2 linked regions of the Neodiprion lecontei genome follow. Each later gene encodes a partner of the first gene's protein in a complex. Links are inferred from orthologs where the notes say so. Each region holds a gene or a part of one and is shown in the gene's direction. Other genes may lie near its edges.

Region 1 (6,968 bases):
TCCTAGCATCGTTAATTTTTTCTGCTAACTTCGCAAAATATTCTTTACGCTTACATTCATCGCTATTTTTGATTGTTAGTAATAATTTCATGTTTTACGTCAGAACTGTCGAAATATTGAAGTGAAAAAATTTATGTTCACTTATCCCTTTATAAAATTAAATTTTCTACAAAAAAGGTCTGATTATAGATTTTTGTCAGACAAGCCGTTTCCGAGTAATTAAGCTTAATAAATTGATATAATTTCTCGAGAATTAATCGAGAATTAATCGAGAACGATTAATACGAAACGAAAGAGGAAAACGATTTCGGAAACTTGCGCGTAGCAACAACGGAATTTTCGTTTGTGTCAACTTGATAAACGCGGCTTTCGATGTAGGTTATCCGAAAATCAGGGGAGAATATGATATCGAAGATGAGCTCTTCCCTTACATGAAAGCCGCTGTGAACCAAATTAGGTGTAGTGGGTGGTTTGAACACGAAACATGCGATCTTCATCGTCGACAGCTTGTTTACAACTTTATCCGCGTTAAAATCTATACTCAAAAGTTGAGAAACCTATGCAGCGCGTATAGAATTTTTGTAACTATAGACTAAATTTACTATGTCGCGGGTTCGCATCTCCTCACGGAGATGATCGAGCTGATTGACCAAGTCGCGGTTTCGCGTCTCTTTACGAAGATGATCGAACTGATCGATGTTATTAATTAAGTCGCGGTTTCGCATCTCCTCACGGGGATGATCGAGCTGATCGACCTATGGGGGGGGGGGGGGGGGGGAGCAATGTCAGTTGGCCTCCTCGTGGCGTCCCCTGGAAATCCTTGTGAGCAAATGCGTAGCTAATAACTGACAACACAAGTACGTCATCAATGTACAAAACAGTAATCACAATTATAAGTTTGAAGTATTTACGTCACAATCTATTGCATGATCTATTTTATCATACAATTCAGATGAATAAGGAATTAATAATAAATATGTATTATGAAATTCGTCTCAAAAATCACAATTATAGATCTTTGTATACATGTGACATGTTTACAAGTATATGACACTACTTGTTAAAAGCCACGTAAGACGGTCCCGGCCGTCTATGAAGTGATATGAAAATACGTTATATCTATTTTAGCGGAAAGAAAAATGCTAGAGAATGTAATTCGAAAATTTTTGGTGATTTGAAAAATTAACGACGGAGCCAGGAATCGAAACTGTTGTTTTTATATAATGATTGTAATAAATATAATTATTTCGATAATTATGACAACTTTTCATGTCTTAAAATAATTCGTTGTATGTAATTCTGCAAGACATTATGGTCGAATACAGATCAATGAGGGCAAGCGATTTTAGGAAAATTATGTCACATTGAAAAGGCATATCCGTCCGTATTATTGGAATAAAATAATGACTGTGTCGATAAAGTTATGGTACTAACATTTACAGTCGCTACGTAGTTTTACGTACTCACTTCGTACCGTCTCAATCTTAAGCTTTCATACCGACCATACTTTGGCTGCTACAAATGTCGGTACGAGCCCGTTACGTAGAGTCGATAGAGCAGAAACCTCCTACGCTCCCAGGCCCACTTGGGCACACTTGCCCGCCGAAAGCCATCCGAAAACTAATACACAAAAATTTACCCAGGGACCCCAGGGGTAACTGTCTTTGTAATCTTCAGTCAAAGTTTACTGGGTTCCCGAAGAATTTTAAAGAATTGTTTTGGCGCCATTCAAAGAATTGTTCGCCTGATAGGTTGGCAATGCTGTGCGGTCAGCTGTGTCAAATAAACATGGCAGCGTCGAATAGCCGGGTCGACGAGTTGACAAGTTATTTTAAAACACATAACAAAATCAAAGAGCAACAAAGCCACTCAGCGAAGGTACACAGCGTTGGCTGGAGCTGTGACGGGAGACTACTGGCGTCCGGCTCGTTCGACAAGTGTGTTTGTATTTTTTCTCTTGGAACCGATCGTTTGGTGAGTAAAAGCTCGCTGTGCGTTTACGTGTTTATGTATTATAAATTTGATATACTTTAATGAACCTCTGCAGTTTAAGACTATGTTGTGCTTACTCTTCACTGACCGCATGAAGAGTCATCTTATTTTGACTCATTAGAGTCAGTATTTTTATAACATTTTGATATAAATCGAAAGTTTTTAGGTATACAGGGTCATCCACGACTATTGCTTCATAGGCTAACAATATATTTCTCATAAAAATCTGTGACAGAAACGTTTTCGTTTCTGATTCGAAATTCGTTATTTGCAAATTACTGTCGTTGATAAATGAATAAATAAAATTTTCCATTCATCGCATTTTGAGCAATTCTAAAGTTGCAAGCTAGCGATTTTTTCTGAAATATTTTGTTACCACCTTCAATCTCATAAATTTGATGCAATATATGTATTCAATTTAACTACAATATAGAGTTATTATTCAATGCAGGTGATAAATTGTGGAATTAACTATACAAGTATATTTATGATCCATGGAACCCATAAAGTGAAAAAATTTACAAATACAAGCTCCATGCAATACACACTTAAAAACAATATAAAAGCATTTTGTATAAATACAAAAACCTTTGTTCTAGAAACAAGAGACAACGTTCCGCGGACATGGAGGAAGCGTGGATCAATTATGTTGGCACTCATTTCACCCTGAGCTACTATCAACTGCAAGTGGAGATAAAACCATGCGTATTTGGGACACAAGATCTCAAAAATGCACAGCAAATATTGCGACACGGGGTGAAAACATCAATATATCTTGGTCGCCTGATGGTAACACAATAGCAGTTGGCAACAAGGAGGATTTAGTGACATTCATTGATGCAAGAGTAATGAAAATTCGTGCCGAGGAACAATTCAACTTTGAAGTCAATGAAATATCTTGGAACAAAGATTCGGACACATTTTATCTTACAAATGGTCAGGGATGTGTTCATATTCTAAGCTATCCGGACCTAGAACTACTGCATGTAATCAAAGCTCATCCAGGGACATGCATTTGCATTGAATTTGACCCTACTGGTCGTTACTTCGCAACAGGGTCAGCTGATGCTTTAGTGTCTCTGTGGGATGCTGATGAATTATGTTGCCTAAGGACATTTTCTCGATTGGAATGGCCTGTTAGAACCATTTCATTCTCTCATGATGGGCAACTCCTAGCAGCTGCTTCTGAAGACTTGGTCATAGACATTGGAGAGGTAGAAACGGGAGAAAAAGTTGCCGATATACCGGTCGAAGCTGCAACATTTACGGTGGCGTGGCATCCAAAACAATATTTATTGGCATATGCGTGTGACGATAAAGACACTTACGATCGAAAAAGGGATGCTGGAAGCTTGAAAGTTTTTGGGTTTTCAAGCGAATAAAATTGGATTTTACCATATTGACTGCTTTTCGTCAACTTTCTTTAAATGGGATTTTTATTTGACAATGACGTTTTTGTTAGATCTCATGTGTGATACCTTTACATGATACATATAACATTATAGCACGATAAAATAGTACTCTCTACACCTAATGCTCTAAGATGATTTTAAAATTCATATGCAATTTTGATCAATATTTGTTGAAGAGGGAAGCTTTTGTAGTGGGTTATTTTGGTTTAATGCTATGTTCATTACCTCAATAGCACTGTACATGCCTGTATGTTCTCCATATATCTGAATATTCTGTAATTTGAGACGTGTCAATTACTTTTCTTACAAATGCAAAGCCAGATAAGAATATGAATATTGCCTCTACTCTAAACTGATCCTTCTGTAAGCTTACTGTTTTTTTCTTTTCAGTTTTTACTATAAACAATTTGAAGCTCACGAGAAAGTATTGATTACACTAGTTCGAATGTATAAAAAATTAGTTTGAAAACACATGAGTCTGACAAATCAACAAAATTTTGAACACCCTCTCTCAACGTTCTGTATCACATTATTTTTATATGCTTATTCAGATGGTGGGTCACATTGAAGAAAATTGAAAATCCGTCTTTCCATCATCCGTATTTTACACCTGTGTTTGCGGTAGTCTCACCAGGGATGTATATAAAATTAACACAAAGTTCTGCTTGCATTGTGTGAGATAGATACTAAGTATACGAATACATAAATATGAGTAGATGTTACTAGTACAGTGAATACAATCATAGTGCTACTCCTATGCGTAAAAGCATGCCAGCAGGTCTGAGAGCTGTAATTGTTACAAACTAGTGAATGGCTCGAAGCACAGCAACTACAAACTCGAAATATCGATAAAGATTTTGAAGAATCAGAGGGATTTCTGTACGAAAACTATTAACACCTAGATATAATGATTTGCTGTAAAACCTTGATTATCGAAACGCTGAGTTCATACTTCCTAAGCAATTACTCAATCAGCTGTAATCAAGATACAATAAACGGAAACGTATTGTGATATTAAGTAAAAGTTGTGAAAATCCAAAATATGCTATTAATTGTACTTTATAAATCAACTAAATTAACACGGATGAATAGCAATCTACTTACACAAGAACCGCATGGCTGTCTTGACACAGATCTGAAGGATCCAAAAAAAAATACAAAACACTGAAATAGTACTGACGGGCGACATAAATATGAATTTGTTGAACCAAAACAGTCTTTTACCAGAATACTTTGAAGTACTTTGTGGCCAGAGGTTTATACCCATGGTGGACAAGCCAACAAGAGTAACACAACTAACTTCCGCCTGCATCAATCACTACTTTGTTTGTATGAGGCAGTACGTTGGTGACATATTAGCCATGGTATTGAAAATCCACGTTGGAAAACATTTGTCTATATTCTCAAAACTGAAAGATGCACTAAATACTTTTACAAAACCTTGAAACAGATGGTAAAAGAACAAAGGAGAACACTTTTGCGACAAGAGAATAGAGATAAAATGACAAAATGATGTTCATACAAATGTGACATTTGTAATTGGAGAAGCAAAGGAACTTAGAGAAATTTAGAAAGCCATTGAATCCCACTACACAAAGAAAAAAAGTCTGTCACCATAGGGATACTGATGTTAGTTAACGTAAGGGACAAGATTTTTAAGGATGCCATAAACGTGAATAGTGCAGTTCGAATAAAAAATCAAAAGAATTATAAACTGTGTAAATTAATTTATAGAAAAAAATAAAATAAATCCAAAAATGATCGCATACCTAGTTGGAACAAGTAGGGTGTTATGGAAGAACGTAAATAGTAAATTTCATATTAGGAGTATACTTTCAATTTCTGGATAGCATAAAACTGTAGTAGAAAAAAAAAATACTGCAGATAGCTTTAGCAAATATTTTGTGAATGTGTGCAAAAACTTGAAGGTAGAATATCGATAAGAGAAGTACCGGTCAAACAAGACAAGGTCGAGCAGTTTACGTTACTGGATCTTGTTAACAATGAAGTAATAATTAGTGTTCATTGTAGTATTAGAATATAGTATGATAGAGAAATTAAAACTAGGTAAAACCCTATGTGTATAAAGTCATATCTATACCACATGGCCACTGGTGAAAATAATAAATGGCATATGCAGGGGAGATACTTTCCAACAGTATTCAAAAAAATATTAGTAGATAATAAAAGTATTGAACCAAAGAATGAGACTAGGAAAATATCAACTAGTCTCACTAATTGCTAGTACGGCTAAAATAGTTGAAACATGTTCTAAAGATAGAATGCTCAAATTCATCATTTAGAAAAGGAAAATTTACTCAGATGTTTTGACTTGCCTTACCAATAAAGCAAAAAATCCTTGGTGGTTTTAGTGGACTCGGCAAAGGCGTTTCTTGCAGTAAATCATGGTAAGATATTAGATCAACTGGAAAAATGATCTTTTAAGAATTTCTGAATGATCTATTTTATAGGTATTGAGTGGAAAAGAATGCAGATTGTGACAATCAAAATGAAGTACCATCGAAAATTTTGTCACGTGTTGCATACCTATATAATCCGTACTCGGGCCTTTGCTTTTATGCATAATTATATAATAAATATATTGCTGCATATTCCCTAGAGCGTGTTCAGCTTTCAACTTTGGCAAGGAAGGATACTAAGGATTGCAAAACTAGTAGACTGTTTACATTGGATCGCTTTTTCAGCATTGAGGTACGAGTTGTCAACGTTTTGTACATAAGTACCGACAAACAAACAGTAATTTAAATCGGATATACAATAATTTATTATTTGTACAATTCACGTATGTTAACAGTGTTCATCTAAAATTGGACTATACCAATTATTTACCTATTGACAAAATTACTACTCCATCACTTCTGGTTTTCCTAGTATTAATCACAAGGTAATCGACAATACTGTATTAATTGAATAATGCACTATAGAAGCAAAGATCTTGATCATGCATTCTCTGTCTCATGAATATTCCAAGTCAAAGATCTATGTTTTTGACCGAATATCACATAATCAGTTGATAGTTATGTACAAATATTGCATATTGAAAATCAACCTAGACTTATCAACATTCCTTTCTAATATTACAATAATACTTTACAAAGTGACCTAATCTATTGAATAATGAGCACAAGTTACACATATAAGCGAGAATATTTATGCTATGCACAAACTATGTCATTAATATTCGATCAATATCAAACTTGCAATATCTTTTCGCAGCTTTAAATGCGTGTAAAGTGCTGCGAGGTCTAGGTTGTCCTGTAATATTAAACAAAATTTAATATCAAACTAACGGAGGCTGTAAATAATCGCCTTTGTGAAATCAGTTGCAGAACTTTGTCCACCCAAGTCCTTGGTGCGGACTTTTCCATCGTTCAATACACGATTAATAGCGTCTCTGATCTGTTCTGCATAAGTTCGTAAATTAACGTGATTTAGAAGTTTGACAGAACATAAAAGCATGGCAGTGGGATTTGCCACATTTTTACCCACAGCCTCTGAATACGTGTGACGCGCACCCTGTAAATTAAAAGTAAAGAACATCAA
Region 2 (6,059 bases), on another chromosome or scaffold:
GCCGCACGAGCCGCGGCCGCGTTAACTCCACTAGCCGTAGTTCCAGGTGCCGTAAGCAGTTCCCGAAAATCCACGCTCCCAGTGTTTTCACCATTTATTACTGGCGAGGTGTTTGACATTTTCCCTCCGTGACAACCTCGTTAAGAACTTTCCTGATCATTTGTGGCCGCAGTGAGCGTACCACGCGCCCAACCACACTCATTAAACAATCTTACGTAGACTCCGATGATCTTTTCACTCTACAAAATAGACAAACTCTCACGATATCACCCTCAATTTTAACCCTGGCTCGAGATGTTTACTGACAAAACTCTGCCGACGGCGTTCTCACAGTAGAGACACCAAGCGTACGCGGCTCGAAATACTCCAACGATTTCCCGCCATTGCAACCACGTGATTTCCGTACCCGTCAATCACGGCTGGCCCCGTTTATTTGAATTCATCCGACGAGATTCTTCCCGCTCTCCACGTTTACGAATAATCGTAACGAATGGACAACCTATTCGATGCATTAATCAAGCTGTTGGAAGCTCGGACGAAAAAAATACTCCGGATATGCCTTTCAATAGAAATTTTACAGCAAGGTAAATCTACAACTGCTGAGAAGGATGTTCACTGATAGCTTCGCATAGAGTGCAGCACATTCCAGATCATCAGTCTTTAGCGCGATGTTTTTTATTAATCAAATATGCCGTACTTTAATGAGTAATTATTAAAGTCATTACTATATACATATAAGACTCAATTACTACAATTCATGCGGAAATATTACGTTTACAAGACAGCTATATTATAATGAAATGCGAATTTCAATTCGATATCGATGCCGAGGAACGGTCTCAAGATACGTTCCGCTTGATCTGTGATTGTGGTTGTGAATTGGAGCAGCATTTTCGTTTATTTCGTTTGTCGCGTCACGTACATAAACCGTTGTCCTTTGAGACTGTGTCTCGTCTTAGCTCGCCAATTCCTAATGCGACGCCGCCGACCAGTGTGGATGTCGTGTGACATGGGTTCAGCTAAGGTTACGTAAAAAGCGTGCCGATGAAACGCTTTGTCGTAATTCTCGAGCGAATTTTTGGCGGCTTGTGTAAACATCATATTAATGTTATGTAGAACTTAGTTTATCAAAAAATATCAGAAAATTGACGTTCACCGTGTGGACGGATCTGCACCTGGCGTTGTATTATAACGGCAAGAGATTAAAGAGTTAATAAATAAATAAATCGGCACGACACTTGCGGTTGGAACTTTTATCGCCACAAATAGTTGTGGGTGTAATAATTTTCATTGACTGTCATCTCACTCCAAATTATAGACCAAATGATTTACTCTGTTCATCCGTGCCTTACGTGACTTTCATGTAGCAGTAAATCAGTGCTGTTTTGTGAATATAGCGAGTGAATTCGCAGGCACGATCAATGCAATACGTGCAACCTTAGTTGAAAATACATAATCATTAGAACTGATTCACTCTTTCGATTTTTCAATTCGATTTCCGTTCGAGATATTGCTTTTCGAATAACTTTTGCAATTACCAATGATGAAATATCTATCGCAGATTTCAAATCTCAAATTATCTTATTTACATTGCTGAGAGATGGCCTAAATTTATTTTTCAATCAACCGCCAGATGCGCCAGAGAAAAGCCCGACGTTTCTAAATGTTACAGTGTTTTTGTTTTGAGCTTCCGAAAAACATTGATTTTGGCAATTAGAATCTTCGTAACAGACCCGGTACTACAAGGAAAATAGATTTCACTTGAAAAACTGAAACGAGGTTAATTTCCGTTGGTCAGTATGGAGTACGGCATTGCCATACGGAAATTCAGTCAAGCCGGAAAGCGCGCCACCGATAAAACAGGGCTGAATCAGTGTGGCTAAATGCCACTGGTCGAGACTGGCGGGATCAGCGTGACTATATTTCGCCATTGTTCCTCCGGTCTTTCGTATCCTCTTACATTTCACAGTTACGAACTGTGATTACGAATTTCGGTTGGCTTGCTCTGTTGCGTTTACCTGTACCAAAACTCTGTGATAAATGAGATAAAATACGAAAAGTTTTGCCGCTTGTGAAAATTAGTAATTAAAAATAATTCATTATGGCTGATTCTTCTTACGAGAAAGGATTAACCGAGTTATCCAAGATGAAGGTATGCGCATACATTAGCACTGTTTCATGCGGCGATTGTGTATTTAATATTTACGTTAACCTCAACGAATCCAACCATCTTATTGCACCCTGAATGATTATATTTTGGAGAAAGTTTACTTTGAGTTCTGTCATTCGAATAGTAATATGTTTTAACTTTCATATATGAAACCATCGTCATCCCGAAAGTTGTCAAATTGCTGAACACGTTTTGCTTCGAAGGTGCACTAATCAAACTTGAAAAATTCTAGTAATTCAAGTCTCAAAGATCTTTTACTGTAAAAAAGGGTACTGTTATCCTTTATGGATTGAACTGTGTCAGGTTTTATTTATAACGTTGATTATAGATTCTTCGAAATTTGAATACAATTTTCCAACCTCTCGATAGTTGAGAGGTACTTAATTATAGCAGGGAATAATTTTGATGCATCAATTGATGACATTCATTACAGGTAGCAGATTTAAAGTTGGAGTTGAAGCAACGAGGACTGCCCACGACTGGAAATAAAACCGAGCTGGTAGAACGACTTCAATTAGCAATGCATGGAGGTAGGATTATGAAAATGCAAACCATAATCGTTAGCTTAATTACAGGATACCCAGGATTAATGAATTGCATTAAATAATACTCAATATTTGACAGCCACCGATATTTTGTTTCACAGATTCGACTTTATCACTTGACGAGACTACGGATGAAATATTAGATGAGGATGCTGTTCTCGGAGTAAGTTATATTTTTACGTCCTTTTAGCTTTCAGAAATATTGATAATATTCCGAATATAAGACTCTGAAATGTATTGGTTTATTATGTTTCTTCACTAAAATAATAATGCATTACCAGGTCTGAATCAAGTTTGTATATCTGTTCCCGTTTTTATAAATGAATGATATGTACCTGTAGGATGAAGAGATAGAGGAACTTTCTAGTAAACCCGACTCACAGGAAGTGGGCAAAAAGCGAAAATTGTCAACAGAAAGTAACTCAGCGAATTCCAAAAAAATAGTACTGAATCGTAATCCAATTCTCGAAGATATCCAAAGTGAGCTAACTGGAAAAGAGAATAATAATAAATCAGATACAAGTGAACCTGAAAAGAAGGTTATCAAACTTTCTCAACTGGGCGTTAAGGAGGTAAAAATGATAACTACACGTTTTTTGTGATTGTCACATACCTGCATTTTCAACTGAAATTCACAGCTTCTAAATATCTTCATCTATTGCACTTGTTAAAAAATAATTAATTTTGCAAATTTTATACTCCATCCATCCACCATCTGATAATTATCGTTTTTGAACAGAGACTGGAAATGAGAGCTAAGAAATTTGGTGTCCCTCTATCTGAGTCTGCAAAGAAAGAAGCTAGGTCGGCCAGGTTTAATTCAAACACGCAGAATAGTAAGTCAGCAGCATCTATAAACGTTCCAGTGGTAAGTTTTGAACAAAATCAGCTTGACAGTTAGATTCGTGGAACACTTATAACTTGGGGATGATATTAAAATCTCGTGAATAATTAATTTCAGCATACGACCTTTGAGGTGCTGAAAAAGAGAGCTGAAAGGTTCGGCGCTTCGGTTTCTAGTGTGATGGAAAAAGTATGTGTCAGTTTTTTAATCAATGCAGTGTATCAGTTACTGTGAAATGCCTTTAAAATGAATCATATAATTTATTGTTTATAGGCTGAAATGGAGTCAAGAATAGAAAAGAGGCGAGCGAGATTTGGTGAGGTTAAGCCGATTGAAAAACCCATAAAAAAAATTAAGATAGTAAAATGATACTCGATATCATACACTCAAACAATACTTTAGGTTAAGGTTATTTTAAGAAATTCTTTTTCAATGAAACCAATAGTCAAACAGTCATTAAAAAGTAGACGAAATTTTCAATATTCAATATGGATCGAAAATATTTACATTTTTTGATTAATCAATTTCTAATAGAGTATTTTACTTATAAATTAAAAAAAAATAAAAACATCAAATCAAATTATAGCATTGGTAATTTTTTCATTGCCAAACATTATTGATGTATAATTCCAAAATTATGGAATCTCTGAAAATAAATTCTAGTAATAGGAAATGAAGTCCAGAGGCTCCTATAAAATCAAAATAACCTGCTGATCGCTGTCACAAAAATGTGCTTGCGTTGAATGAAACATTGATAATAGATTGGGAATTTCTGAAAAATTTATTACCATTTTTCCATACGTACAGTTTACCTGAGGTTACAATCACAATCTACTTAAATCTGTATCTCGAGCTCCAAAAATCGTGTTCGTAATTTCTGAGGAATAATGTAAACCCTTCATATTTCGAAATGATTCTTTACACACGTATACTAAACGTCAAACATTATTCTGGAAGACTTGGACCTGGCTTAAAAATAGAATCAAAACTTTGATAAAAATTTATCCAATCATGCGTATGTGTACCAGTATTTACAAAATATTTTAACCTAAGTACAATTCAGATATTGCTAAATCGACATAGCACATCTGAAGCCGAGATTGCCAGCAGAAGTATCAGGTGTGTTTTGACTGCGCGCAGCGCACCTGTATCTGTAACAGTAACTCTCATGACACAGATATGAGCCTCCTTTTTTAACTTTGTCTGTACCACTTGACGGTCCGACCTACAAAATTTTGACTGATCATGAATTTGAGAAATTTAACTACAATTATTACATGGAATGTAGGTGCTTGGCATAAACTATTAAGAATACCAGTACTCGAAATTGTGTATCTTGACTTAGGACAATCATTTAGCAATAAATCATAGCTTTTTTGAGAGTTTTTTTCAATTGCAACATTCCTGTGTTAGAATAGAATTCATTTTTGCAAGGGTATTGGGTGTATGTTATCACAGGAAAGTTATACTTACAGGATTTTTTGCAGGTTTATCACTGTGTTCAGTTACCCACCAATCGGAAGTCCATTCCCAGACATTTCCAACCATATTATAAAGTCCGTAACCATTTGGTGGAAATTCTGTGATTGGTGCTGTCCCCACAAATCCATCTTCAGCACTATTATTGCTAGGAAAAACTCCTTGCCAAATGTTGGTCCTGCACGGAAAAAGTAAATTAAAATTCTATACTAGTAATAAGATTAAAGAAATAATTGATAAGTAACATGTTTCTTAACAGAATCATATAAATGTGTTGTGCGTATTTTGTCAAAAAAAAAAAGAAGAATAATCAAGCAATTGTCAATGATTTTTCATTTAAAAATGAATGTGCGTCGCCGAATTTGAGGATGTAATGAAATAAAAATTAATCGAACAATCGTAATTCCAATACTAGCTTACCTGTGTTGATTCTTTGGAGTGAGGCGGTTACCCCAAGGAAAAAGACGTTCAGTTACAAGTCCGCCTCTGCACGCAACTTCCCATTCAGATTCCGTAGGCAGTCGTTTGCCTCGCCATTTACAAAAAGCTGTGGCATCGTTCCAAGAGACGTGAATCACAGGATGGTCCATTCTGTCTGTCATAGAGAACGTGTTTAAGATTGTGATGATCGAAGCGCGTCTACTTCTCACCAATTTTCTTGGACTACCTATGTATAGAAGAAAACCTCACCCAGTATGTCGGAATCAGGACCTTCAGGATGACGCCAGTTACAGTCTTTGACCGGTAGCCACCAAGGTGCCTGAGCAACCGCCTCGTTTATCTTAGACTTTGTTTCCTCGCTCAATAATCCCTCAAACACAAAAGAATCCCCAAATTTTTCAGCCTCTGTTCGATGCCCCGTAGCCTTGGCAAACTCCTCGAAATCTCTGTTGCTAACTTCGTAAACATCAATGTAGAAATCGTCCAGAGTTACGTTTCGTCTTGGACCCTCACCGTCGGCCACGAATATCGGTTGGTTTGTACCGACGGCAAAGGTGCCCGAATTTATCATCGCCATTCC

The links. Proteins that work in one complex are often made in the same cells at the same time.
Region 2: THO complex subunit 3 (region 1) and SAP domain-containing ribonucleoprotein share a complex: the UniProt entries of both Homo sapiens proteins name them as parts of the transcription/export (TREX) complex. The link is inferred for Neodiprion lecontei from reciprocal best matches to the Homo sapiens genes THOC3 and SARNP.

What each region holds. Positions count from the first base shown.
Region 1 is NC_060260.1:14,298,808-14,305,775, forward strand, and holds THO complex subunit 3, read left to right. Parts: upstream 1-1,711; 5' UTR 1,712-1,758; coding exon 1,759-1,974; intron 1,975-2,591; coding exon 2,592-3,374; 3' UTR 3,375-6,455; downstream 6,456-6,968. Other genes in the region: isocitrate dehydrogenase [NAD] subunit beta, mitochondrial, read right to left, coding at 6,711-6,941. UniProt on the Homo sapiens protein: Component of the THO subcomplex of the TREX complex which is thought to couple mRNA transcription, processing and nuclear export, and which specifically associates with spliced mRNA and not with unspliced pre-mRNA.
Region 2 is NC_060263.1:36,078,548-36,084,606, reverse strand, and holds SAP domain-containing ribonucleoprotein, read left to right. Parts: upstream 1-1,914; 5' UTR 1,915-2,101; coding exon 2,102-2,152; intron 2,153-2,603; coding exon 2,604-2,700; intron 2,701-2,816; coding exon 2,817-2,878; intron 2,879-3,056; coding exon 3,057-3,287; intron 3,288-3,454; coding exon 3,455-3,583; intron 3,584-3,676; coding exon 3,677-3,748; intron 3,749-3,832; coding exon 3,833-3,928; 3' UTR 3,929-4,628; coding exon of another isoform or gene 4,629-4,784; 3' UTR 4,785-5,032; coding exon of another isoform or gene 5,033-5,216; 3' UTR 5,217-5,447; downstream 5,448-6,059. Other genes in the region: male-specific lethal 1 homolog, read right to left, coding at 1-119; formylglycine-generating enzyme, read right to left, coding at 4,629-4,784, 5,033-5,216, 5,459-5,633, 5,729-6,059. UniProt on the Homo sapiens protein: Binds both single-stranded and double-stranded DNA with higher affinity for the single-stranded form. Specifically binds to scaffold/matrix attachment region DNA. Also binds single-stranded RNA. Enhances RNA unwinding activity of DDX39A.